Linked DNA regions of Oryzias latipes. The protein of the gene in region 4 purifies or fractionates together with the protein of the main gene of each other region. This does not show direct contact. Links are inferred from orthologs where the notes say so. Each region holds a gene or a part of one and is shown on either strand. Other genes may lie near its edges. The genes, in order: e2f4, lin54, lin52, lin37, rbl1, tfdp1 and mybl2.

Region 1 (3,984 bases), on a different chromosome or scaffold from region 4:
AAGTCAGTTGGAAAGAAAAAGAAAAAAAATGTGTGCACGTGCGTGGAGTGTTTTATCTGCGAGGTGCAGCGCAGCTTAGAGTATCAGCAGACACTATATCAACCCAGTCACACAAGAAGGAAATGATCAGGAAGACAGACTCAAAAAGAGAAGAAGCAGAACTCTTCATACATAATGTAATGCCTGAATGGTCAAAATGACAGTTAAGAAAATAACAAAACAGAATCAGTGTGTTGTAATTTAAATGATTTTAGACTCAAGTGTCTCTCTTCTATGACTGTTATAGAAAAATATGTACATTAGGGGGGAAACAATCAATCCACTTATTTGATAAATTGATTTATATTACTACGATCCAACCAAATAAATCTGTCTGAGGCAAGTTGCTGATCCAAGCGACCTATACCATTAAAAAAAAATCCTTTCAAAATGTAATAAATTAGTTATATTGGAAAATACCATTTGGATTGAGGCACGTTAGGTTTATTTACTATAATGTAAAATCGACCATCACAGCAGACAACACACAAGTGATATCAGCAAAAACTGATCAACCGTCATTCCAGTCCAGTTTGTGGAAAAACTTTGAATTTAGCAAAGACATGGTCCCATCCAGTGGGCTAGAATGTTCTAAGAATGTTACATTTTTTAGGGTGTATTGATCCTTTTGAACAATTCGGTTAATATAATAATTTGTGGTTGACAATACGATTTATAGTAGATATTTGTTCATTTTGAACGATCCGATTCACTGACCTAAAATAGATCCAGGACATTTTTAGCCAAAACATCAATCAGTGGGACTCAGAGAGAAATACCTGGTACTGAACAGCACAGCGGAGGTTTTCCAGATTCCTTGCAAAATAACCAAGCGTAAATTAAATAAGTGTACAAACACACAAACAAGAATGAATGGCAAATCTAGACACAATAAATCACTAATTTATCGTTATCATGATATGATATATCATGCAAAAGTCTGCAAAAATTGCAATAAATCGTAACCTTAAGAGTGCTAAAACAATCTCATAGCAGCTTGAAGTATTTAATGAATCAAATAAATTCATTTAAACATTTGACCAATCAGATGGAGCCTTTCACGTGGTTGACCAATGGGATGGAGCTCTTTTATGTTGGCCTCCTATGTAGACGAGGGGCAACTCTTATTTAAATTAAAACTGTTGCAGTGAAATGGAAATTATGGTTTTGATCGTTTTGCTATTTGTTCATGTATCGCAAGTTATATCCTCATCGCAATGTTTATCACTAATATCGCATACCGCGAGTTTTCCTCATTATATCGTGCAGCCCTAGTCAAATCCATTCACATTTTTGGTTTCATCAAGTTGCGACATATGACCACACTGTATGGTCAAAAATTATGTTTCCACACATCGAGCCGTAATGATGGTTGGTCATGCTTTGCTGCCGTCACATGCGTGTTGTCTACTGTGATGCACTCGGTTATTTTTACAGTTATGGTCAAATAAACCTTCAGAACCTCAATCCAAATGGTGTTTTCCTATATCCATATAATTGATTTATTTCATTTTGAAAGGATTTTATAATAATAAAACACGTTGACTCAATTAACAACTTGCTTCAGGTCAATCTGGTTGGATCGCAGCAATATAAATCGATTTACTGATTATTCGTAACAACCCTATCTATGGCAAAAGTGGGCTGAACTTTGACACTAAAATGGGAATTACTTGTTTGTTTGTTAAGCCATTTTATTTACATTTACAAGAAATACAAGTGACACTGTTCAGTACCCATTTATTTATCTCTGAGTCCCACTGATTGATGTTTTGGCTAAAGATGTCCCGGACTATAAATCATGTCGTGAAGCACAAATTATAAAGTGGATCAAATTGTTCAAATAAATCGTAACACCCCTAATGTAAAAATATGAAAAGTGCAAACGTTATATATTTTTTTGTATTTGTAGAAAACTATTTGAGCTTTTACATCAAACAATGTGGGACTTTAGCAGAATCCCAATAGTAAACATTCCTGCATTAAAGCTAGTGATGGAAATGTGGAAATGTGGCCCCTGTACTGTGAAAAACAAAGCTAGCCTAATTTAATCAACATCTGTGCGAGTACTACTTCACGCTTTGAGTCATTTCTGAAAAGCAACATTATAAACGCATGTCGTTCGTGGACAAAGACGCAATCAATCATAAAACAAACTTGCTCAAGTGTGAAGGTGCAGTGGCTTTAACTGAGAGTAGAATGACAAAAGCTGACCCACTTTCTAAACTTTGAATCTGCAGGGGGGCAGAGAGTCGAAAAAAGTTGACCGGTGTTCTTGAAATTCACTTCGTTTCTTCACTCAGAAAGGCAAAAATCTGCACCATAAAATATTAAATGTGATTTTAATTGTAAAAGTGGTGAACTAAAACAACAAACTTAGAAGGCAAAGCTATCTTTCATTCAAATTAGCCTGTCACACAGCTAAGCTAGGCTAGCATGCTAGCTAGATACCATGTAACTTAACGACTGCGGGCTGGCTCAAAGTGACATGTGCTAGCTAACAACAAAGAGCTCACAGCTTTCAGATCCAGGACTCCGTCCTTCGCCTCTTGTAATAAAGTGACGAACTTCGTCGTGAGCAAGCCCAGGCTCTTCTCGTGCCTGCTCGGCGTCTGCGGTTGCAGCGAGTCTCCCACGGTTCCCGGGTCGCCTCTGTTACTGGCCGTCTCCAGCTCCATCATTGCTCCGGATCAGCTCCGTACTTCCCCTCTTCTCTTGCCTGCTTTCCGACTAAATCCAGCCAGCGAGCCCAAGAAAGAAAGCTCCACCGCCGCAGTTCGAAACACACACGCGTGGATGGTGTGGTGCAAATTTACGAGTCAATACTAGCTGCTTTTCTGAAAATAACTGAGCAAAATCGAGCTGAAGCAGCGAGTATGGAAATTCAATGAAGGAGCAGTCGGTGGAGAGCCGTTGGCCACGCGAGGTATGACGGGACGGTGCTTTCGTTTTAGGGACCGTGTGCAAATGTTCATGAAAAAATAAAACCACGTAAAAAATACATTTGCTAGCACGAACATGTATTTCTAGTGATTTATTTTTAATGTAACATTGAAAAAAGTATGAAAAAAGACGGTTAGTAGTTTTTCTATTGCGATTTTAGGGGAAGTATTGGTTGCAAGAATTTTTGGTAGAGGAGAAAGTTTAACTCGAACTCTTAGCAACTTAAACTTGAAGAAAACGCACTTCCACGCGCGCACACGCAGGCACCGTTCTTCAAATGAATATTTGAAAATTATTTTCCCCTCTAAAGCTTTTCTTCCAAACCACATTGTCATTGACTGAAACATTTTCAAGGTTGCAAAGCAGTGCGAATTAGTGTACTGTGTAAACATTGGTTTGTAAATTAAATATTTTGAATTTAACTATTTGAGTTCAGTATTGCATCCTAACGACTTTATTTTTTTTAACCACAAAAATGTTACCACATAATTTAAGTTTAAAAGTTATTATAGGGGTGTAACGATTAATCGACTTAATCAGTGAAACAATTTTATATTTCTACATATTTTCTAGGGCAGTTGTTAATCTATTATCTATTCAAACTATTATAAAATCTTTTCAAAATTAAATAAATCGAAAATGTCAAGATTGGAAAATAGCATTTGGAGACATGGTAGGTTTATTTTACCGTAACATAAAAGCGACCAAGTGCATCACAGCAGACAACACATATGTGGTGGCAGCCAAAAAATAAAAAAGAATGTTACAGTCCAATGTGTGGAAACACTTTGAATTGTGTAAAGACATGTGGTCATGTGTTACAACTTTATGAAACCAAAATTTGAATGGATTTTCTTTTAATTTTTGTTTACTTGTTTATGTGTACACATCAACTCTACACTTGCCAGAAGTATCAGAGTACCAGAGTCACACTGGTTTAAAAGTTTTGGCTAAAAATGTCCTGGCTGGATTTTAGGTCAGTGATTGAACTGGATCGTTCAA
Region 2 (3,500 bases), on a different chromosome or scaffold from region 4:
GACTAAATCTGTCAGCATCCATCCATCTATCCACCTTTACTCTCACCCTGTGCAGACATTGGGGTTGCAGTCCATCACAGCACCACACACAAACGTTCACACACAGTAAAAAAAAAAGTAAAAGGATATTCCCAGGTGGTGCGGTGGTTGACCCTCTCAACTCAGTCAGGAGACTTTAGTTTGGATCCTTTTTGTGGGGAGTTTGCATGTTCTCCCTGTGCATTGTGGGTTTTCTCTGGGCACTCTGGCTTCCTCCCACACTCCAAAAACATGCTACAGAGGTTCATTTGTATCTCTAAATTGCCTCTAGTTGGGAATGCATGTGTGTGGTGTTCACCCAACAGTAGCTGGGGTGGCTTATGTATGTAACCCCCGTGACCTTAAAGGATTAAGCAGGTTCTGAAATGGATGTGTATATATATTTTTTCTTCTATTTTTCAGCATTGTCATTTTTTTTTTTGTTTCTCCAGGATTGACAGAGCGGAGACGCTGCAAACATGGACGTGGTGTCACCCGAGTTGAACAGCCTCCTTCCTGATGAGATCATGGACACGGAGGCCATGGAGGAGGCGCCTCACTCTCAGCCCGACAGCGCCGCGGTCCAGGCGGAGCCCTGCTACGACTCCACAGTTCCCATGGAAACGGACGTCCCGCAAACTCCCAGCGTCTCCGAAGACGCGGCGCCGACGGGTAACTCCCAAACCCAGCTAACGCCTACGGACTCCACGCTCAGCCCCAGCAGACATTCCTCCATCCTCATTTCCAGCGGCCCGTCGCGCCTGGTCACCCTCAAACCGGGCCTGGCCACCTCCACGGCCCCCACCAAAACCACGGACAGCGTGACCGGGACGAGCATGTCCACGGGCGGCTTACAGAAGCTCACCGCTCCCTTCACCATTTCCTCCGTCAACCATCAGATCATCCTCAACAAGGTGGCCTCGTCTCAAGCTGCGGAGGCTGCAAAGTCTGCGGGGCCGCCGCCGCAGGTCATCAAGCAAGAAGGACAGAAGCTGCTGGTCACGACCATAGGGAAGTCAGGACAGCCGATAGTGCTGCAGCTGCCGCATGCGGCCAGCAAACCCGGCGTGGTCCAGGCCTCAGGAGACGGCAAGGCCCCGGCTCCGCAGTTTAAAGTGGTCACGATTGCTGGGGGGTCAGAACTGAAGCCAGTGGTGGGGAGTGGAGGCAACCAAGTAACCGCAGTGCAAACCCAGCAGCTCAAGACTATACAGGTAACCCTGAGCGCAGAGGCTGCTACTGTGACCTTTGAACTCCCATTAGCAGGACTGTGAGAACCTCAAGACCCACTCTTGTCCTTGTGGCATTTTAGTCATGATGAAGAATGTATATAAAAAAATTAGAGGTATAACAATGCATTTTTAAAAGCAAATTGATACACATCATAATTAGTGGTTGCGATGCGATTCCCAGTCAATATTGGTTCATTTTGAACTGACTGAACAAACGTCGATCCAGGACCTCTTTAGCCAAAAGCTTAACCAGTGTGACTCAGAGAGAAACATCAGGTACTGAACAGTCCAGGTGACGGTTTTTCTTGTATTTATTGAAAGCAGTATTTCTTTGCCAGTTTTAAGTAAATGGTTTATTTTCAGTTTTAATGAACCGAATTGTATTTTCATTACAGTGACAAAATAAAACTGTAATAAGTAGAAATTACTCATTTTAGAACAAAAGGAGAATCTTAAAACAAGTTGTCTTAATAAATTTTGATACATTTTATTTAATTTTTTTGAAGTTGAGTTTAAATAAAAATTATTTGGACTCATTTAAATAATAATTTCCTTATTTCTAGATCCATACGAGGCAAAAAATTCTCACCTGTGTAGATTTTTTTTTTTCCGCAGAGCTCGGGAAGTTTTAGTTAAAACAACTTTAAACCTGGCTAAAATATCTTGAATCTTTGCAGCAATCAAATAGTTTGCACTGTTGTAATTGCAGTATTTTTTGTTGAAACTCTTTAGTCTAAAACGATCCAGATCACATCCTCCAGTTTGGAGACGATCCAGATTCCCGTTTTTTTAAGGCCTGGTTGGTTTTCTGCTCTGCGTCAGATCAGTCTTCAGGTCATCGCCGATGGCCTTGAATCTTCCGTCAAACATCAGAGACGTGCGGTGAAGCTCAGGAGTGAAGCATCGCTTTTTAAATGTGTGTAAAAATGAGGAAAAATTCAAACTAAGTCAAACTTTATTTAAAATATGGGATCAGATGAGAATCAACTTAAAGTGAATAAATAAGCAGACTGTAAATTTGAAGAACATTTATTTTTGACTTGAAAGAAGCTTTAGATTTGAAACTTTAATAAAAGCTTATAAATCTAAAAAAAAAGGCTTATTAAAAACAGCTGCTGTGTTTTTAGTTTCACATTTGGATTTTTCGTTTCTTTGCTTTCAGTCCTCTGTTTCAATTCAGAACTTTTCCTGGCGTTCACCCGAGTTTTCCATGGGGGCGGGGCTTTGAGCCCATTGGCTACCAGGACAAGATTGACATTGGGTGACAGCGGTCATGTGACATCATTGCCGGTCTTGAACAGTGTCTGTTGTGGGCGCAGCAGGGATGATGCTCCACCAAAAGTTAGAACGACGGTCAATATTTAATACTTTTCCAGGGTTTTGCTCTGTAATGTACAGACTCGCAAAATCGTGACGATCGGACACTTTTGAGTTTATTTTATAGTTTCCATCAGCAGATAAGGGTTGGAGCCCATCCGGTTTGGAGTTCTTTAAAAAAAATCACAAGAGCCCAAAACACCAGTTTATTTAAATATCAATATATTTTTCTTTTCAATCGAATATAATCGTCCTTCATGGAGACTGAAAACAAAATTATTTTTCCAGATGCAAATGCAACAAATCTCTATAAAATGAAATCAACTCAACGGTTTGTTTAATTTCTCCTGCATGAAGATCGATTGCATCAATCCATTTTTTAAAGCTAATTCATGGGTGTTTGTGTTCAGATCTGACATTCATATCCATCCTCAGATTCCTAAGAAAACCCCGGTCTCCTCTGCGGCTCCCATCAAGTTCATCATCACCAAAACGGTCAACAGCAAAAGTCTGAGTCCTCAGACGTCCGTCACCCCTGTGATCGCAGGTGAGCTCTCTGCAGATCTGCAGACCCGACCCGCGTCTTTGTCCACCAAACGCTCATTTAGTCACCCCCCCCATCTGCCAGCAGGCCGGGTGGTGACGCAGACGCAGTCCCCCGTGATGCCACCCAGAACCATCGCTCTGTCCGAGCCTCACAACACTAACCTGCAGAACATCGCCAGCAAGAAGATCGCCATTTCTCCACTCAAGACTCCCAGCAAGGCAAGACCGCACACTTTTCTGAGTCATTCACGAAACCGGCGGGGGCTACAAACCCCCCCCCCCCCCCCCCACGATGATTGATCTGCTGAGTGTTTGACGAGCAGTTTTTTATTCTCTTTTTGTGTGCGTTTTTTGTGTTTTAGAACTTAAAAAAGAAAACGTCTTCTA
Region 3 (4,107 bases), on a different chromosome or scaffold from region 4:
AACCTGTTTGGAATTTGAATGTGGAAGCAGCCAAAGACTTCAGCGGCAGAGAATTGCGTGGAAATGCTTTTAGCCCCCCCTAGTGGTGAAGTGTCTTTGTTATACTTACACTCCTCTAAACCCAGCTGGTAAGCCAGATTCTGAAGTCCTTTGACTTTTTCCATCAGATTGGCTGTAGTCAGACTTCCCAGCTCTGCAGAGGTATAACATCACACTAAATAAAAGCATTTAGAGATACTTAATTAGCTAAAGAAACATGAATTATTATTTAAAGTCCCACTCGGATTTGATCTTTTGATCTGTTGTAACCCTTGTGCTATCCTAGGCACTTTAACGTTGGGAGTTGGGTCATGTAGACCCACTAGACAGTGCGCTGAACTTTTTTTCTTCAATGATTTATGATCTTCACTGGTGTCCATGGATTACATGAAATCTTTCCACCTTTATCCACCTTTGTCATGGTCGGAAGAACACGTCAATGTAAGGGTGGGGTCATCTAAGATAGCACAAGGGTTAAAAGGCGTTCCCAGAGGTCTTTTAATGAATGATTATGCCGTTTTTTGCCGAGATAGAAAAAAAACACTGTGTGATTTTTAAGGACAGTTAGAGCAGAGCTGCAGTAGATCATCAGTTTATACACTCTACTGCTAGCTTACAGCCACTCACACCCCCAACCTAACCTTAGAAACGAAAATGGCGAGCAATATTGATTAAGAAATAAGAAATTTCAAACAGCATTTTTTCATCTGCTCCTGATTCACAACGATTTGAATAAATAAGAACTCAGAAATGCAATTTCAAGCTTAATTTTCTTTATACGTGTCCTCCATTATCAGATGTCAAGATATCAAATGCCACAAGAACATGTTCAAAACACGGTTTTTCTTATCAGAGTGGGTTTTTAATGTTTTCCCTAAGGTTTATACAGGATAAATGTCAGCTGTCTGAACCAACCTTTCAACATTTCAATGTCCTCACTCTCCAACTCAGCCATCCACTTTGGAGGAGAGGTGGTGATAGGCTGCAATAAAAAGAGAAAAACAACAACATACAAAGTCTCAACTCCAATCAGTCTATGCAGAGTCAATCCTGCATCTTTAGATCAGAGCTAAACTCACATTTTTGCAAGTTGCCGCAAACTCTGCAACTCCAGGCACTGTGTGAGAATTCACATAAAGAATCAATTACAAAGTAATTTTTTATCAGCTGGGCGTGGGAGGATAGAAACTTACACTGCTCTGGCCACAGGTCAGGTGATGCTCTGTCCAGCTTCTCAAAACTCAGCAACGAAATCTCAAAATCCTCCCCTGCAGAAGCACACAGTGGTTCACTTTGACATGTTCTTTAGTTTTTTAAGTTCTATGCTTTTGGAAATCAGTGGTCAACTATAAAATTCAGCCAAATGTTAATTTAAAAAAAATTAAAAAGTAACTTTTTATAAACAGGTCAAAAATTGAAACCTAAAAACAACTTTTGTTTCATGTTTTATCTAGACAGAAAGAGAGGAAAAAATCTAATATTTATCTGGTCTTAAAATTAGGCAGTTTCGAATGAGAATAAATGGTTTTATTCATTTAAGATTCGTACAAACACTGATCAATTAAAATGTTCAAAGAGGTCATAGTCATGTGGTGATCTGATCATCTACTAATAACTCTTACACTGCTGTAAAAATATGTTTGGCCATTTAAACAGAAATGCCTCGTTGATGTGAGAGATCAGAGGAGAATGGCCAGACCGGTTCCAGCTAATAGAAAGGAAACAGGAACTCAAAGAACCACTGGTTTCAACCAAGGTCTGCAGAAGAGCATCTCTGAACAACCCTTGAGGCAGATAGGCTACAGCAGCAGAAGACCACACCTAATGCTGCCATTACTGTCAGCTAAGATCAGGAAACTGAAGCTTTAATTCACACAGGCTCACCAAAACTGGACAATAGAAGATTAGAAAAACATCTGGTCTGAAGAGTCTCCATTCCTGCTGGGACATTCAGATGGTAGCATCAACAACATAAAACCATAGATCCATCCTGCCTTGTATCAACAGTTGAGGCTGCTGGTGGTGGTGGTGTGATGGTATGGGGGATCTTTTCTTGGCACACTTGTTAGAGACACTTTTCTTTCTTATTTGTCTGTATATGTATAAAGGGTTTTCTTTCTTATCAACAATTACTTTTGCTATCAAATCTGAACACTGGTCCTTCACCAATATAGAGAATTGTATCCAAAATTTCAATAACTCTTGACAGAGTGTGAATTACTAACTAATAACATTATTGGTTCTGCAGACTGTTAAACTTTTTAGAATTTGCTTTCAACATTTTTAACACATTAAAAGATACTCATTACGGACATAATACTTAATAGCAGACTGATTCCATTTTCAATCAAAGGAGTCGAACAGTCACACAAAATCTAACAAGCAACCAAAACAGCTACTACTAATTTAAAGTAGAGAAAAATAACTAAGTGCTAAATGTAGCACTGATGCTAATTCGAGCCAAACGGCCAAACGAAGCAACAAGAAGAACAATCTGGACTGCTGCTGTCATCATCAACGGCGGACAATGTCAGTCCCAGAATCAGGAAAAACAAAGGAAGAAAAACAAACCGATTAAACAAGAATTTAGTCCTACGACAAATTTTACGTTACCTCTGGGTGTTCACATTACACTGCGTTATAACTGTTAACGACTTAAATGTCTCGAAACTGTCACATTTGCGATGTATTCAAAGCGTATCGGAGAGAAGAATTAAAATTTACCTCCATTTGGAGACGCCATCTTCAAAATAATCATGTGACATGCAACAACCAATCGCAGCGGCCGCGCTCTGTTTTGAGGTGTGGCGATGTTTTTCAAAATTACGCCGCTAGAGGGCGGCAATGGTGCTCGCGCTGTTTACAAGAGGCACAGAAGATTACTGTTCGTTTTATTCAAAGATTTATATCGTCTTAGAAATTGTAGTACGAACATTACTGTCATAACTTAATGAAAAGACCCTTATTTAAGCCCACCATAGTCTCAATGAAATGTTACAATGCTGGTACATTTTATGGTTTTACCTTAGGGGACATTTAAATCACCTTTTATTCCCTCTAGTTTTTATTTCTGGAAAGAAAAACCATAACTCAATTATTAAACAAGACTTTCACATCCCAGATTTGGAATGTTTTGCATTTAGTTTATATTTTTATAACAACAATTTCTTGCATTTAGTTTACTAGGCCCATGTTTCACAGATTTTACAAGTTTGAACTTAAGTATACATAAAAAAACGGTACAATTTATTATATATATATATATATATATATATATATATATATATATATATATATATATATATATATATATTGAGTTTTCCAATTTTTTGACTTTGCGGCACATCTCGTTTTGTGTTTGTAAATTTTGCAAATATAACAGGACATGAAATACAAGAATAAAACAATTTATTGATCAACATAATAAAAACACAAAATCAAAAGTATAATACTAAAGCTCAGGACAATCTCAACTAAAAATACATGTAAAATGTTCTGGCTTTAAAAAAAACAACAACTACTGTCTCTTTCAAATGGAATTTAGTTTGTCACTAAAGGCAACTTGGTGACAACTCCAGTGCATCTTAAAAGATTCTACAATCTGCTTTCCAAACTGACTGAATTCACATTTTTTCTTACAGAAAGACAAATGAAATGTTTAGACTCAAACTGATGTTTTGAAATTCCCTCGGCTCAAAATGCTCCGTGTCTGTGACATCTTAATCAAACAAGGATAACTAGAAGTCCCAGGAGTCTATCCACTTCAGGCCTGCCATGGCACTGCCCGGCTCATGGGCAAGAGGACCCATCATGCCATAGGACAGAGGATGAAAAAGGTAGAAACTGGAAGGAAGACAAAGATCTACTCAAAATCAACAAATTCTTTATTGCCTTTACATTCCCACCAACTAGATGTAAATATGAGGTCTGCCTTACAGTATTTAGCACTTTGCAATGCAAAAAGTTACGAGAAGAGTTACTTTCACCTGATATAAACTGCAAAGTTAGGGCTCTCTTATGAGTCTCACCTGTAAAGGATGCTGAGCTGAAGTAGCAGCCATCCACCAA
Region 4 (4,074 bases):
GTCCAGGGATAGTAAGATCATGCAGATGATAATAAACATACACTATTATGAAAATAACTGTTTGATTATCGGGTACAAAGGTAAGAGATAAAATGTACCTTTATGTAATGTTTTAGTTTGTTTTCCACAGGGAGATGATGAGTGGAACATCCACCACAAAGGTTCCTGCTCTTCTCCAGAGACAGGAGTCACTGGCTGGCGCTGTTTCCGACTCTGAGGTAGACCATGTCGAAAACGTTCTATGTATCTTCAAAAAGCAAAGGTTAATGATTTGTCGAGCAACGTTAAAAGACTAAATATGAAATGAGATTGTGATGAAACCAGACAGCACGGCACGCACTTAGCCAGCACAGAATCTTCCTGAACTCCTGAGGAATCTTTGGAAGCCTCAGACCTCAGAGGCTGATCTCTTTCCTCCATATCAGGAGTGATGCTACCAAGACGAGATGCGTGTTCAGGGGACTGCCAAGACTCAGCAGCCACAGATTGTCCACCAGTAGAAGAAACATGGCGATCATGTTTCTTAAACAGTTTCTGATTTTTCTGAGCACATGATTGTAATTTTACACCGGATCTCCTGCTTGTGCAACCAGGACTGCGCGTCTGTAAGAAGTACAAGAAGTATGAAGTAATAGTTAGAATCGACTTGACAACAAAGATGTTAATGAAGTTATCTTTAATACTAACACTTTTGTTCTTTGTCTTTGACAGAAGTTGCTTGCTGGATGATTGCTTGTGTGCCCTTCTTTCCATGGATGGTGGCAGATGAAATTTCTGCCCTGTGAGAACAGCATCAACACAATTTTTTTAATAAAAATGATTAAGCAATAGTAAAACGCATAAAATAAGTTGTATGTTTATTATTTTTACTTCTAATTTTCTGACCCCTCCTCTCTAGTCTAATTTAAACTGTACTTTTCTGCTCATTTGGTGGATGATAAAAAAATCCTGACCTGTGGATTTGCACATCCACACCACAACATCAAGCAACACATTGACCCATAACAAACACGTACAACAACAATGACACAGATTTACAAGACCAAAAGTTAAGATTTTGTGAAGAAAAGAAAAACCTACCTAGTTGGCTTTTTGATTAAAGTACACCTAACAAGATGGATGAAACCAGAAAAGCTGTAGCGTTTGAGTTGTTTACGGCAAAGAACACAGCTTGTGGAAATTGACCAATCAGGGGCTGAGTTTTGAATAATGGACAGAACAGTTGTCCAATAATAGTAAGATTCTGCTCACAAAGCATCCAATCAGATCATAGAGTCTACAGCGCGCGGAAGAGAAAACCTTGACAGGGATACTTCTGGGTAAAAAAAAACGCAGTTAGCAACGGTTGTTTGGCCACTAGCTTACCCACAACACTACTTGACCACATCGAACAGAGCGTGAACAGTGTAATATTGTTGTTACATAGATGTAGTTGGTAGGGTAAAATGTTTCTCTTCGTGTCAATTTAATAATTAAATACATGTAGATAAAAAAATTGTGGCGTAATTTTAAGAGTTTGGGGTGAGGCTAACGCAAAGGTTAGCTAACTTAACTGAAAGCAGGAGCGCAGCTAGTTTCGGTGCATATTTAATTGTTTTAAAACAAATTAAACTGTGACTACCTGTAGTTACTGATCTACTACGCAGATCTGTTTTTACCCCCTGGGAAATATTGTTTGACACCATGCACCACGTCAAGATCAAGTCGGAAAGGCCAGGTAAGAGAGAGCAGGGCTATTTTCACGAACTGTTGTTTTATTTAATTAGACACCTTTAGTTAAAAGAGCTTCACAGAGACACCGAAAGGCTCTGGCAGTAAAAAAAAAAGAAGTCAAATAATTTACATTGTAATGTGTAGGGGTAATAACAAACTAGTTAAGCACATTATTATTATATGTATAAAAATAATATAACATTTGGTTTATAATAAATGAAACGTTTAAAAAAAATTAAGCGCAGTTAATTATTTAATTGTGATTTGTGTAATAATTTCTCCTAACCCCTTAAAAACGTCTATTTAGGAATTGGTTGATCCATTGGTTTAGTTCAAGCATTGATTGTAGACAATACAGAAAAGGAAATCACACAGTTTTATCAAACAGAAATAATGAAATGCACTGATTAAAAAAAATGTAAGAAGAAAGTTATAGTAATTACTCATAATCCAGAATCGATTTTTCTGCAATGATGCAGAGAATACACATTTAGGTCACATCAGATTCATTCCATATGATTACCAACTAAAGTCAAGTTTTAATTTTTAATTGAAAAGGAGTAGGAAGACATTTGTATGATCCCACCCCTAGTGAGTTATTTCATTACAAATTTTTGCATCGTTGTCATAATCCAGTTTTGATCCAATCGTTCCTTGTAAATGTAAAATTATGGTACGGTATAGCTTAATAAATTGTGTGTAAATATTGTTAAGGAACCACTAGATTCCATATAGTACTTTGTATCTTCAAAAAAGTCCGATTTCTTTTTTATTTACCATCCAAAATATTTAAGATTTTGGGAACTTCATAGCTAAATTAATTGCACATATCTTTTAATGGTAATAATTTTATGGTTATCCATGTTTTCTGTTATAATTTTTGTAACTGTTTCTATTACAGAGCTGGAGGAAAGCGGTGCACGCAGCAGACTGGATGCTGTGCTGAAAGGACTTGTAGAGAAGAGTGAACATGAGAAGTTAGTGAGATTGTGATGCTTTTTCATAATTCTTTTTATATTCTGTTTTACTGTGAAGCACTTTGTGATTTTTATCTTGAAAGGGGCTATACAAATAAAGTTTATTATTATTATTATCATCATAATGATCGCTCATCACTGTCTAAAATTGTCGTTATGCTTTAAACAGGGATCCAAACGAAAATGATCCTGGGAAAATATCTGTGGATTCTTTAAACAAGTAAGCTCAGTAAATTTTTCTTTTGTTCTGTTTAATTATAAGTGAGGAGGAATTGATATCAGAATCAGAATCTTTTATTATCATTCTGCAGAGCACAATGAAATTTTTTCCAGCAACTCTCGATATAAAAAGGTAGAATAAAATAAAATAAGAATAAGGAGCTATATAAGGCATAAATACTTAAATACTGTACAGTAGAGTGGGGTGAATATTGCACGAGTGGGTATTCCACATTAGAATGGATATTGCACATACAGCATGAATATTGCACACAGTTTAAAATAGAGATATATATTCTAATATACTGCATAAAGCTGTAGTATACAGTATATTATACAGTATACTGCAGCTTTGTACAGTACAGTACATTACAATATACTGTATAAAGCTGCAGTGAATTCAGCTGTTACTTTGATGCTTTTTGAGTATTTTAAATAATGATCAAATGAATTTCTTGTTTTGAGATAACATCCTTTCTGCCCTTTTTAGGGATTTGTCTCCATCATCTGCTGGAAAAAGGTAAGTCTCTGTATTCAGAACGTGGGTTAATAATGTCTTTTATACTTTTTTATGTCCTGTACTGTTCCTAAACATTTTTTTTACAGAAAAGCGACTATTTGAAACAGTTAACATGAATTGTATTTATTGTTTTGATGTGGTATTTTATTTTTATTTTTTTCAGACAATCAACTCGATTTCCACAACACCGTAGAAAGAAAAGGAAAGAGATGGAAGAGGGAATACCAGAGACTAATCAGCATAAACAAAGTAAATTTGACTCTGACTTTTGCTTTTTATTGTGTGCAAGCTTTTCATTTACAGCAGTTTTTCAATTGTTAAGAAGCGTTTCTATTTGATCTGCTTTGCTCCTAGATGCCTACATCATTAAGCTGTTTGATCGCAGCGTCGATTTGGCTCAGTTTAACACCAGCACCCCGTTGTATCCGATCTGCCGTGCCTGGATGAAAAACAATCCTTCTGTTCGAGAGTCTGTAGCCTCCCCCGGCTCCCCGCCCGGCATGACAGAGGAAGAGGTGGGGCTGTCCAACATGTCCAACAAGGGCAATATGAATCTGTATTTACAGGGAAAATTTACCAATCTCTTTGTAATTCAACATCACAATATCATAAAGAGCATTCTTTATCTTTGTTCGTAAAGCAGCA
Region 5 (4,290 bases), on a different chromosome or scaffold from region 4:
ATGTAAAAAATAACTTTTTATCAAATTACATGTTTCTGGTTCTTAATAATGTGATAATAATAATAATGAGAAGTCTTAATTGTTGCAGTTGAGTCAGGATGAAAATTGTGGCTTCTCTTATAGATAAAGCAAGTCAAAGAAACAAATCAATTACTTCTTGTTACTCTGTTTTTGTAACATTTTGCTAATTAAATGTTCAATAACTTGTTTGTTATGATGAATTATATTTAACTGTCTAAAGCAGCCAGACCATGTAGGAAAAATCCCAGAAACTAAATGTCCCCATTCGTTTTTAGTCCATCGTTTTATGCTGTTTAAATTTGTATTTCCACTTGAACAAAATATCTAGGTTTGAGCTATAAATGCTTAAATTGTGATTTTTGAATGTTTCTTTTTATTATTACTTTTCCAGAGGTTTTTACTTTACCTTTATTCTACCAGGTAGTCCTATTGAGACAAGATCTTTTTTTCAAGGGAGTCTTGGTCCAGAGGCACATTTCAATACAAAAAAATACATAAAAACAAACATCATTAAAACCACATACATCATGAGAAGCAGTTGCACATTATTGTTTCAGTCTCTGATGCTTTGAGCTTGTTCTTAAAAACATTTAAAGATACCAGTTCAGTTAGTTTCCAGTCTTTCTGCAGCATTTTCCAAGCAGGAGGAGCAGAGTGGACTAAGGCTTTTTCCCAGCTCTGTGCAGCAAATGGAACAGAAACAACCGTCTAAGGATCAGAGGAGTGAGATTCCACACTTCTCCTTGTGATTAAGGAACAAATGTAGGGAGGGAGTAATAACCAATAGTAACTACCAATAATAATAACCAATAATAATTACCAATAATAATTACTAATAATAATAACCAATAATAATTACCAATAATAATTACTAATAATAATAACCAATAATAATAACCGATAATAATAACCAATAATAATTAACAATAATAATAACCAATAATAATTACTAATAATAATAACCAATAATAATTACCAATAATAATTACTAATAATAATAACCAATAATAATAACCGATAATAATAACCAATAATAATTAACAATAATAATAACCAATAATAATAACCGATAAAAATAACAAATAATAATGACCAATTGTAGTAACCAATAATAACAACCAGTAGTAAGAACCAATAATAATAACCAATAATAATAACCGATAATAATAACCAATAATAATTAACAATAATAATAACCAATAATAATAACCGATAATAATAACCAATAATAATTAACAATAATAATAACCAGTAATAATAACCGATAATGATAACTAATGTCCCTGCCTCCTAGTGGCCAGAGAAGTTTTTGCCTTCAATGTGTTCGTGCTTTTGTTTTTTATAAAGTTTTAGAAAAAAAAGTTGACATCCGGTACATAAGAAAGGGGGAGAGGGGGGCGTAGGTTTCTCGCCTCTGATTGGTCAGAAGGGTAAAGTTTTCGCGCCACCGCACTGCATGCTGGGAGCTGTTAGCGGAAGCGACGGGAACCGTGTTGTTGTGGTGAGAGCTCGGCTCCGCCGTTGTTTGGTTCTGTGGGTCGGATTCGAGCTGCGCGGACGGGCAGCGCTGGTTCTGTGGATGAGAGGGGAGGAGTCTTCGGATTCTGAGTCGGGGAGGATGGAGGAGAGTTCGGTCCGGAGGAGTTTGGAGGTGCTGTGTCAGGAGCTCAACATGGACGAGCAGACAGCCAGTGAGGCCATGGACAACTTCACCTCCATATGGAACACATACACTCTGGAGGTAAACGACTGGCTTCGGTTCGGTTCGGTTCGGGGGGGGGTTAGAGTCTCCCGGGGGCGCTGTAGACTGACCCGCTATGAGCCAACGAGCGCTTCTGCTCTGCGACCTCCGGTCATGATATACATTAATACATGATGCTGTGACGTGAGTTTTCCTGAAGCTTACCGGAGATTTTTGTGTTTACACACAGAAACACTGAAATGAGGCTTATTTGTGAGACTGAGTTAAAACATCCAGGTGTTGATTTGAGTCATAGGATTGTTGTTTACGTCCGTTGTTGAATCAACGTCACAGCGAGATGCTGCAGGTGACGGGAAGAGGAGCCTCGTCTTTAGGTTTACCTGGTAACTAATGGCAATAAATAGATGGCAATAAACGGAAGGTGTATTTATTATCTACAACATGGAGGTGGATGCACTGAATTTTTAAATATGAAGTCCTTATTTTTTTAGCAAAAACTAAGAAAATATTAGCAAGAAAACAGTATTTGAGGGGCGTAAAGAGAATTATAAATTCCTACTGATTGAACAGGGCAGTGAACACAGCACGACTCACCTGCATAAAGGAGGATTTGTAATCAAAGGCGTCTAATATCTGGATTTTTGATTTGATGTGGCTTTAAAAGGGACTCTGTTCATTTATCTGTTGCTGTCTAGAAAAGTGACCCAAAGAACAGAAACGTCCAAAACTTTACTAGATTTGTTTTAGCTCTTTGATTAATATACAGTAATAATAATCACACATTTTATTTAGATGGCGCCTTTCTGAGCACTCAAGGTTGCTGTACATCATATGTACTTATATAAAATATAATAAACAGTTAAAACAGCAATTTAAATAAATACAAATAATAAAAATATTTAAAAACAGGAAAAGGTTACAGTGAATGGGCCATTTGGAGGAAATGAGTTTAGTTGTTTTTATTTGATGATTTTTTATGGATTTGTTTGATCTCAGGGTTGAGATGGTGGATTTGTTCTGTGCGCTCCTGCTGCTGTTTAACACGATGGCGTTGAAGATGGAGATGCCTGAAATTCTTCACATGATTCAATGTTTCTTTAAATGTAGAAAAATGACGTCACTCTGGTGAATAAATTCAGCATTTTTGTAGCATATTTGGTTCCAAACGGATCCAAATGTTGTACATTTAGTTGTAATAACTGGATTTTATGTTGATGCGTTATTTTAACTAGACGAGTGAACGTTAGGAAATCGTTTATCTCTGTTGTTGTCTCCATAAAACAGCTGTTACACCTCATTATGAATTCATATGGTTAAAGATGTAAAGTCTATTTTGAGCAAAATGAAAAGAATGAAATAAAACGCAGTATTTTACTGAAATGTGACTGAATGCTGAACGTGTTCATGTTTCATCTACTAGCTGTTCCTGAGGGTTTAGCACAGGGTTTTGTTCAGAAGAACCTGAACCTTTACCAATCATTTCATTCACGCACCAATGGAGGCACAGCTGCCATGCCAGACGCTAACAGGCCCAAGGGCACTCGGGCACCGGTGGGTGGGCAGAGCTGGACGATGCAGAAATGTGCCGTTGTGTTCCTGCAGGGGGAGGTGGTCCACTGGCTGGCCTGTTCTCTGTACGCCGCCTGCAGGAAGGGGTCCACCCCCACTGTGGGGAAGGGGCTGATGGAGGGCAACTGTGTGTCCCTGACCCGGATCCTGCGCTGCTCCAAGCTCAGGTCAGGTTCTGCTCTGCAGCTTCTGCTGGATTTTACAGCCAGTCCCGGTCAAACGGGATCCGCCTGTGCAACTTTGGGATTTGCGTCTTCATGTTTGGTCCCGTTTGTTGTCGGCCCCCCTCCCAGCCTGATCCAGTTCTTCTCTAAGATGAGGAAGTGGGCCGACATGTCAAACCTGTCACAAGACTTCCGGCTGAGGATGGACCGGCTGGAGCGAAACTTTGAGGTGTCCACCGTGATCTTCCGCAAGTTCGAGCCCATCTTCATGGACATGTTCCAGAACCCACAGGGCAGCGAGCCCCCCCGGCAGCCCCGCAGCAGGAAGCACAGGTGGGACGCCGGCGCGCCTCAGGCATGACGGTGTATACTATATACATGTCCACAGTATACTATATATACACACATACACACATGGTGCATTGCGTCTTGTTGGAATATCTTGAGTTCAAATAAAACCCGAGCAAAGGTTTTGACAAAAACAAATACATTTTAGGCTTTTGTCTTGATGTTTCATCCTTTTTACTGATCTGAGACATGATCCAAACCGTGAGTGTTGGGATCCGTTGCAGCTCCATCTCTACTGCAGACACAGCTTGAACTCTGACCTCCACGTCAGAGACGCTGCTGCATGTTTGCACCGACAGCAGCTTTCAGCAGATGTGGAGTTTTCCGGAATGTTCTGGGCTTTAGGATCTGCTCCTGTGTGTCTGCAGACGGCTGCCCTGTCACATCAGTGATGTCTTCAAGTTCTGCTGGACCCTCTTTGTCTACACCAAAGGTACCGAGAAACAAGCCGGACGACCTTCCTGAACCCTCTGGGTTTGCTTGAGC
Region 6 (2,506 bases), on a different chromosome or scaffold from region 4:
TGGAGCCATTTTTACAACTGCTTCAACAAAGCATTTCATGTTTGAAGTTTCAAAAAAGCTTTAAAGTTAAGGTGACGTCTTCTGTCTGAAAGTCTGTCTGCTTGTGTTAGAATTAACATTTCTTTGGAGACATAATGCTTGATGCTTCAGGAATGTGTTGGACAAACTAGGAGTGTGACGATAACCGCATCACTGCATTATGGTTTTTTTTAAAGTTCTGCATATGGTGCATGATTGGAACATAAGCACATTAAACACATTCATCTTTGCTGATAATTTACTTTTTCTGCTACTCCTGTGTTCAGACTTCAATGGTTTCTGGGGGAAACCTTTTATTGCAGTTCTCCTTCACTCCCTCTTGCGCTGCACGCACTCCCTCTTATATACACACGCGGGTTTCAGCAGCACATACACATCCTCATTCTACAACAGAAATTTCCATCTCGCGAGGACATACGACAAATTTACTGCGTTCTACTTATTCATTTCCATTGTATTAATTTTCATTACAAGCTGCATGCGTTCTTGAGTGCGCAACGGCTTTTGTGTTGGGGGGGTGGGGGGCGCAAGAGTCCCCATCACAGCTATACTCCAGAGTGGTTTAATAAAGAATCAGTCACTGTTATTCTGGGGGGAAACTTTTATTACTGTTCTCCTTCACTCTGTAACACTAAACACGAATGCGCACTGTTAGAGTGCGATTAATATCACTACATGTTTTGTTTGGGAACTATTTTGTGCAGCGCAAAGTTACGTGCCTGTATAAACAAAGCCGGAGCCTCCTGCCCCGTGTTCTTCATGGGTGTCAGGCTTCATGGCTACTGGAAAGGTGACAAAGTGTCTGCAGTCTTGTTTATTACTGGGCAATATATAATATTCTGAGAAGATGTCTGTACCAGAGAGCACAGGTGAAGGCTTGCATGCAGCTCCAGAGTGGTCCACTGCAGAAGAATCAACACTCACCCCCAACACACTTGTACCCGTTCAATCTACAACACCTTTATAGTTAGTTCTATAGTTAGACAGGTCTTAGTTACTGTTATTTGTTATTAAAGAATACTGGGTTGTAATTGTATTCATTTTTGATGCTGCCACCGGGGGATTATATGTGTTTTTTTTGGGTAGTTGGTTGGTTAACCGCGACACCACGCCGTCATTTGTGATCAAAAATCCCACACAGTCACAGCTCTAGGACAAACACTGTCCCTTTCGGCCTCTAGTGGCAGATGCTGGCACTCACCTATAACATAAGGCTCAAGCGCTTTGGGCACCAGGCTACGAGCAACCTTCAGGTCCTCTGGAGAACATTTTCCCACTTCCAAGCCGCAGGCCATGCCCATACGCTTCAGCACCTCGATATCATCATGGATCTCAAACATGCTGTCGAAATTGAACAAATACTCGAACCTGCGGACGAGGGAGAACAAAAACATCAGAAGGGTGAAACATCCACAGAACTCAGGTGACATGTGACACAAGCTTTAGTGGATTGGAACGATCCATCGAAGCGTGTCTGGGATCAACACTTTGACCTCCATAAATATTTGTAATGTGACTGATGAAGTCAGTAAAAGCAGGAGTTGCACAATAGCTGAAAAGTAAAAACTGTTTTGCTTTAAAATGGGGGGGGGGGGGGGGGGGGCATTTTTTTATGCAGTTCACCGTTTTCAAAGAGTTGATATACCATCAAAAAAATCTCTAAGATAAAATGAAGGGCTGCAAAGACGCTTTATATTACTAAATCTGCCTTTATCTTCATCTGCCTTTAGCCAACTACAGCAAAGAATAAAATAAAATTTAAAAAAAAAAAAATCAACATTTTCAGTCCCAGAGAAGGGAGGGTTGCTTACATTAAGACAGTAATGCTTTAAAAAAAAACCAACAGTTGATCTCCAACTCTGAGCTCAATTCAACAACGAAGAAAAGTTCTTCAGCCGGAGACATTAATACACGTGTAATGTTGTGCTTGTCCGACTCCGTCTTCACGTCGTCAAACACTTGGAGGCCTTGCAACTGCTGAGTCACTACAAAGCAAACCTGTTTACGCTCTTCATTTAGACCCCCAGTGTCATAGGGTAGCAAACACACAAGTGTGTACATGTGGGCCTCCCAGCTTGTTCTCCTCCTCTTTAAAACTGCTGGACTGAAACCACAGCGAGACGGCAGCACAGGGCACTAGGGATGGGTACTGTCTGAACAACAAACCAGTACTTTTGAAACTGTTCAGGACCCTTAACTGAGCTCCAACCAGTTCTTCAGGTCAGTTTACCAGCGTTCTGCTGCCACTGGCGGCAACCTTCCAGAGGCAATGTGTATTGCCCCAGGACAAGACGACATATAGGTGGGCAAGGTGGGAATCGAACCCGCAATATTCCGATCAGAGGTCGACTAACCCTTCACCATGGCTGCCCCTCACGCGACATGGTGAAGGAGAGTTATTTTTTAAATAACAATAAATGTTTCTTTGGGGACTTATTTGAGTTAATGAAAAATGGTGCAGCCATGT
Region 7 (4,228 bases), on a different chromosome or scaffold from region 4:
AAATGGAGGACTCTGCTCTCAAACTGTTCATCAGGGAGGAGGGGGAAAACCTTACCTTGTAAGACACAAGTGCTCTCCATCTTGTCTGGAGATGTGAAGGGCTCAGTCTGCTGGGTTTTAACCTGCCTCTTAATTGTCCCAGCTGGAGGCTGATTAGCTGAATGGAGACTTCCTGCTGCATAGGAAGTTTTGCATTTGTGTAATTTCTACCAAATATAATATACCCAACAAAAAGTACTTGTCATAAGAAAAAGATCAAAACATGACAACACCATAAATTAGACATAAATTAGAGTGGTTTTCTTTTATTTTCAACTGTGGGATGTATGACAAAATGAAAAAGAAAAACATAGGGAGTTCCTAAAAATATGCTCAAAAATTCCTGAAAAATTAGGAATTTGAGAACAGAAAAATTCCTAAAAAGAATTTAAACACAACATATTGAATTTCATGTAAGTAGTTTTTCTCTGGGGAAATTCACCCGGCGATAGTGCCCTAGAGTTAACCATAAGTACATGTATTCCCCTAAACTAATACACTATTTTTTAATCATAATATTTTGATATTTATATCAGTTTGATAGGTCATTGTATGAATGTCTAACTGATGATTGTATTGTTTTTGTGTACTATTCTTATTTGATTGCTTTAAATAAACCATTTTCTAATCCAAATATTTGAATTTTGTTTAATTTTCTTATGTGAAATCAAAATTACAAGTAAACTTTAAAAGTCAAATTAAATTACAGGCCTAAATGAAGCTGTTCGCTGATCTTAATTAATGAGAACTGTTCTATCCAAATTTTTACTGAGATTGAGAAGATTGAGCTTAAAAGAAAAGTTATAAGATGAACAATGTTTACCTTCAACTCGCAACAATCATAAAAGACCTAACTATTGACTAATCATTTTATCTTAGCTTATAAGAAGAGTTCACAAATATTTTATATATTCATATACTGATTCATTTAAAACTAACCTTTTCATTATTTTTTTTAACTGTTTTCCGGTTTTAGATTAAATTTAACTTTTTGGGTTATTATTTTTCTAGCTTTATTTATTTATTTGTTAGTTAGTTAGTTAGTTAAGTTAGTTTGGCTCTTTTATTTTTAAGTTGGTTTTGTAGTGTAATTATTTCTTTTAGGACAATGTATCTTTGCTTCAATATTTTCATTCATTTATTTGTCTATATCATTTTTTTTCAATTCTATGTTGTATTTTTTTGTCTATATAATTATTATTATTATTATATTTTAAATTATTTATTTATTATTTATTTATTTTATAAATCTTAATTACAGCACCTAATTAAAAACCATTTTGAATCAACCAAACATTACATTTATTTTATTATAAAGCGTCTTAACATTTTATTTTGAAGGTCATCCATAGAGGTTTGAAGCCTTCTGCGCAGATCTACGGAGCACCTACGTCACTTGAGAGTCAGCAGTACGGAGAAGGGCGCGAGATAGAAATTGCGGCGCGCGGACGAAGCTCGCGCCTACCTCTAGCTGTGGCTTCCCGGCTCTATTATAACTGCAGTCGAGGTTCTTTCGTCAGAACTGGACATCCTGCAACGACCCAGCCGTGTCACCTGCAGGTTTTTCCCGCAAACACCTGCAGCCCAGCCCGGTGAAGTCCACGTTTGACCCAAATAACAGTGGGAAATGTCATCGTGGCCGCGCGGGTAAGATCCGTGTTTTTGTTTGCTTTTAAGTTTGCTTGTTTGTTTATGTTGCATCTGATGAGCTGACTTCTGCTCCGATCGGGTTGTGGGGAGTTTGCGCGGACTTTGACTGCCGCCTTTTTTCCGGACTTGGCTCAAACTCCGACCAGAATCACCGCCGGTACTTTTCCAGATCACTGCTTCCTGTCAGTAAAGCTGAGCCGCAATCCCGCGGATCCGGTCTTTCTTCGGCGCCTTTAGGGTCAAATCTCAACCTCTTTAATGTGTCCCGGCAGGGAGGACGGGGAGGAGGCCGCGCATCCGGACACGGACACCGATCTGACGGAGTTCAGGGATGGAGGGAAAGTAAAGGTCAGATGGACGCAGGAGGAGGTAAAAGTTCACCCTGAGTGGGGCCTGTGATTCTAGTGCAGTGTTTTTCAACCTTTTTTGAGCCACGACACACTTTAACCTTGACAAAAATCCTGCGGCACACCAGCATCCAAAAATGTGAGAGAAAAAAGGAAAAACTTATAGTCAGTCTGTATTGATCTACTACAGCCCCTCCGCAATCTCACATGCATTTTTGTGACAATTGTGGCAGAAAAAGCTGGAAGTTGCAGCTGTTTTTTTTCTAAAAGATGTAATAAAAGTTAAGTTAAAAGATTTAAAAACTGTTTGATCTGTTTTCGTTGTGGTTTCAAGACGTTTAACAAGGACGACTCATTCTGCGCTAAGACGCTGTCACTTTAACCCAATGCATCATGGGAGATGTAGTGCAAACAGCCGCAGAACGCAGAAAGACTAGCGTCTCTGAGCTTCATTCTTTTGTCCACTTTTTCCACGGTCTGATACCAGATTCTGTGGAAAGCTGCACCGCTAAAGACGAGCTTTAGCTGATATTTTTGTTGGAACTGAGAGACTTTATGAGCAGAATCGGAACAAGGAAGTGAAGACTTTAACCACTTCTGATTGGTCAGACTGTTGACGTGTGATTGAGCCTCCAAGAATGATTGGTGGAGACAGTTAAAGGGGCGGGACTATTCCTTATACAACTGTAGCTGCGGCTAAATCACGGTACCGTCATTCTTATCAACATGTCTTTAATAGAATCAAATAAACACAAAGAAAAATGTATTTTATGGTCTTTCATATTCCTAACTACTCAGTGTTTTATCAGGGCCTGTTTGGATGAACAAAGAGCTGTTATCCTGGAGTTGGGAAATCTTTTTAGATCAGTTAATGAGGGCAATTTCCCACGGCACACCAGACCATCTCCCCCGGCACCACGGCACACTGGTTGAAAAACACTGATATAGTAGCCCTCGTGGTTTTGCAGCGTAAAACAAAAATGATTTGTGTTTGTTTGTTTTTTGCAGGACGACAAGCTCAAAGGTCTGGTTCAAAAACTGGGGACAAATGACTGGAAACGAATCTGCAGCCACCTCCCTGTAGGTCTAATAGGGGCGTATCTGTCTGATCATCACTTTGTGTTGCACTGCAGGAACTTTGATTTATACAAATTTACGAAATCTTACTTTTATACAGGGGCGGAGCTACAGGCGGGCAAGAGGGGGCACCCCCCCCCCCCCCCTGCATAAATCTTAGCCTCCTAATATTTGAGTTGATATGATAATCATTATTTTCATAGGTTTAGAAATCATAAATACTAGCTTCTTTAAGTATTGCAAAAATAATTTTAAAAAAAATTATTTTAAAAAAAAGTTCTTGTTGCCACCCTTTCAAAGTCTTCCACCCCCCCTTTAAAATCTTCTAGCTCCGCCTCTGCTTTTATGATTTCTTTCACTGAAATGTTTTCTTGCAATTATCCAACACTTTTATTGCTCAGACTTAAAAATATAAAACCAAGTTTCAGCGATTACCGTAGGCAGTTTTAATATTCAGTTTTCCCTTTTATAAAGCATTTAGAGTTTAATCCTAGTTCAAATTTTCCCAAAGAAGAGAATCCCCTTTTGTAGGATTTTGGTAAACCGAATGTTGGATTTGTCAAAGTTGGGTGACTTGATGTTTTTTTTGTTTGTTTAAACTTTTTTTGCACTAAAAATCTGGGATTAAAAGACTTAAAATTATAAAAATTCCTTCAAATTGCAGAAAAAAATTTAAGGTGAGAGGATTTAATCTGCACATTATTTCTGATGACAAAAGAACAAGGACAAACCTGCAGCAAAAAATAAAGTTACATATATTTCAGAAAAAAACATTTTTTTTGGTTTTTCAAATCCTGTAGAGAGAGAAAGAAAACTGCTTTTTAAAGTACTTTAAACAATTGTTTGTCTTTTTTGAAGAAAAGGTTAACAATTATTTCAATATCGTTTTTTGCAAGTACTGTTTTGGTGACAAACATGTTGGGATTGATCTGGAGATGATCGGGATCAGAGGTTTAGTTAGGACGTTTTTCCAAACCTGACGCTTGTTCTGTTGGTCCAGAACCACTCGGAGAACCAGTGTCAGCACCGCTGGTTTAAGGTTTTGGATCCCGAGCTGGTTAAAGGTCCGTGGACTAAAGAGGAAGACGAGAAGGTAAGCTGCCATTCAATTAGCA

What was found.
Region 1: the proteins of lin37 (region 4) and e2f4 purify together in Homo sapiens (co-immunoprecipitation; 4 studies listed by BioGRID and IntAct, with this or other methods). This does not show direct contact. The link is inferred for Oryzias latipes from reciprocal best matches to the Homo sapiens genes LIN37 and E2F4.
Region 2: the proteins of lin37 (region 4) and lin54 purify together in Homo sapiens (affinity purification with mass spectrometry; 4 studies listed by BioGRID and IntAct, counting the BioPlex papers as one, with this or other methods). This does not show direct contact. The link is inferred for Oryzias latipes from reciprocal best matches to the Homo sapiens genes LIN37 and LIN54.
Region 3: the proteins of lin37 (region 4) and lin52 purify together in Homo sapiens (affinity purification with mass spectrometry; 6 studies listed by BioGRID and IntAct, counting the BioPlex papers as one, with this or other methods). This does not show direct contact. The link is inferred for Oryzias latipes from reciprocal best matches to the Homo sapiens genes LIN37 and LIN52.
Region 5: the proteins of lin37 (region 4) and rbl1 purify together in Homo sapiens (affinity purification with mass spectrometry; 3 studies listed by BioGRID and IntAct, with this or other methods). This does not show direct contact. The link is inferred for Oryzias latipes from reciprocal best matches to the Homo sapiens genes LIN37 and RBL1.
Region 6: the proteins of lin37 (region 4) and tfdp1 purify together in Homo sapiens (co-immunoprecipitation; 3 studies listed by BioGRID and IntAct, with this or other methods). This does not show direct contact. The link is inferred for Oryzias latipes from reciprocal best matches to the Homo sapiens genes LIN37 and TFDP1.
Region 7: the proteins of lin37 (region 4) and mybl2 purify together in Homo sapiens (affinity purification with mass spectrometry; 6 studies listed by BioGRID and IntAct, counting the BioPlex papers as one, with this or other methods). This does not show direct contact. The link is inferred for Oryzias latipes from reciprocal best matches to the Homo sapiens genes LIN37 and MYBL2.

The regions. Positions count from the first base shown.
Region 1 is NC_019864.2:28,153,448-28,157,431, forward strand, and holds the start of e2f4 (transcription factor E2F4), read right to left. Parts: upstream 2,801-3,984; 5' UTR 2,721-2,800; coding exon 2,556-2,720; intron 1-2,555. UniProt on the Homo sapiens protein: Transcription activator that binds DNA cooperatively with DP proteins through the E2 recognition site, 5'-TTTC[CG]CGC-3' found in the promoter region of a number of genes whose products are involved in cell cycle regulation or in DNA replication.
Region 2 is NC_019870.2:2,879,281-2,882,780, reverse strand, and holds part of lin54 (protein lin-54 homolog), read left to right. Parts: intron 1-470; 5' UTR 471-497; coding exon 498-1,232; intron 1,233-3,002; coding exon 3,003-3,114; intron 3,115-3,195; coding exon 3,196-3,332; intron 3,333-3,500. UniProt on the Homo sapiens protein: Component of the DREAM complex, a multiprotein complex that can both act as a transcription activator or repressor depending on the context. In G0 phase, the complex binds to more than 800 promoters and is required for repression of E2F target genes.
Region 3 is NC_019880.2:13,721,245-13,725,351, reverse strand, and holds the start of lin52 (protein lin-52 homolog), read right to left. Parts: upstream 2,801-4,107; 5' UTR 2,798-2,800; coding exon 2,764-2,797; intron 2,713-2,763; exon of another isoform or gene 2,653-2,712; intron 1,978-2,652; coding exon 1,924-1,977; intron 1,308-1,923; coding exon 1,233-1,307; intron 1,157-1,232; coding exon 1,119-1,156; intron 1,022-1,118; coding exon 955-1,021; intron 194-954; coding exon 110-193; intron 1-109. Other genes in the region: pomt2 (protein O-mannosyl-transferase 2), read right to left, coding at 3,777-3,882, 4,068-4,107.
Region 4 is NC_019874.2:15,177,520-15,181,593, reverse strand, and holds the start of lin37 (protein lin-37 homolog), read left to right. Parts: upstream 1-1,274; 5' UTR 1,275-1,319; intron 1,320-1,646; 5' UTR 1,647-1,683; coding exon 1,684-1,717; intron 1,718-2,614; coding exon 2,615-2,690; intron 2,691-2,859; coding exon 2,860-2,910; intron 2,911-3,399; coding exon 3,400-3,429; intron 3,430-3,592; coding exon 3,593-3,678; intron 3,679-3,783; coding exon 3,784-3,944; intron 3,945-4,074. Other genes in the region: proser3 (proline and serine-rich protein 3), read right to left, coding at 99-247, 341-603, 688-753.
Region 5 is NC_019863.2:32,786,893-32,791,182, reverse strand, and holds the start of rbl1 (retinoblastoma-like protein 1), read left to right. Parts: upstream 1-1,490; 5' UTR 1,491-1,600; coding exon 1,601-1,762; intron 1,763-3,325; coding exon 3,326-3,459; intron 3,460-3,585; coding exon 3,586-3,789; intron 3,790-4,172; coding exon 4,173-4,237; intron 4,238-4,290. UniProt on the Homo sapiens protein: Key regulator of entry into cell division. Directly involved in heterochromatin formation by maintaining overall chromatin structure and, in particular, that of constitutive heterochromatin by stabilizing histone methylation.
Region 6 is NC_019879.2:10,677,005-10,679,510, forward strand, and holds part of tfdp1 (transcription factor Dp-1), read right to left. Parts: intron 1,408-2,506; coding exon 1,241-1,407; intron 1-1,240. UniProt on the Homo sapiens protein: Can stimulate E2F-dependent transcription.
Region 7 is NC_019863.2:23,223,541-23,227,768, reverse strand, and holds the start of mybl2 (myb-related protein B), read left to right. Parts: upstream 1-1,428; 5' UTR 1,429-1,666; coding exon 1,667-1,686; intron 1,687-1,961; coding exon 1,962-2,058; intron 2,059-3,044; coding exon 3,045-3,116; intron 3,117-4,113; coding exon 4,114-4,206; intron 4,207-4,228. Other genes in the region: uncharacterized protein LOC101163484, read right to left, coding at 56-80. UniProt on the Homo sapiens protein: Transcription factor involved in the regulation of cell survival, proliferation, and differentiation. Transactivates the expression of the CLU gene.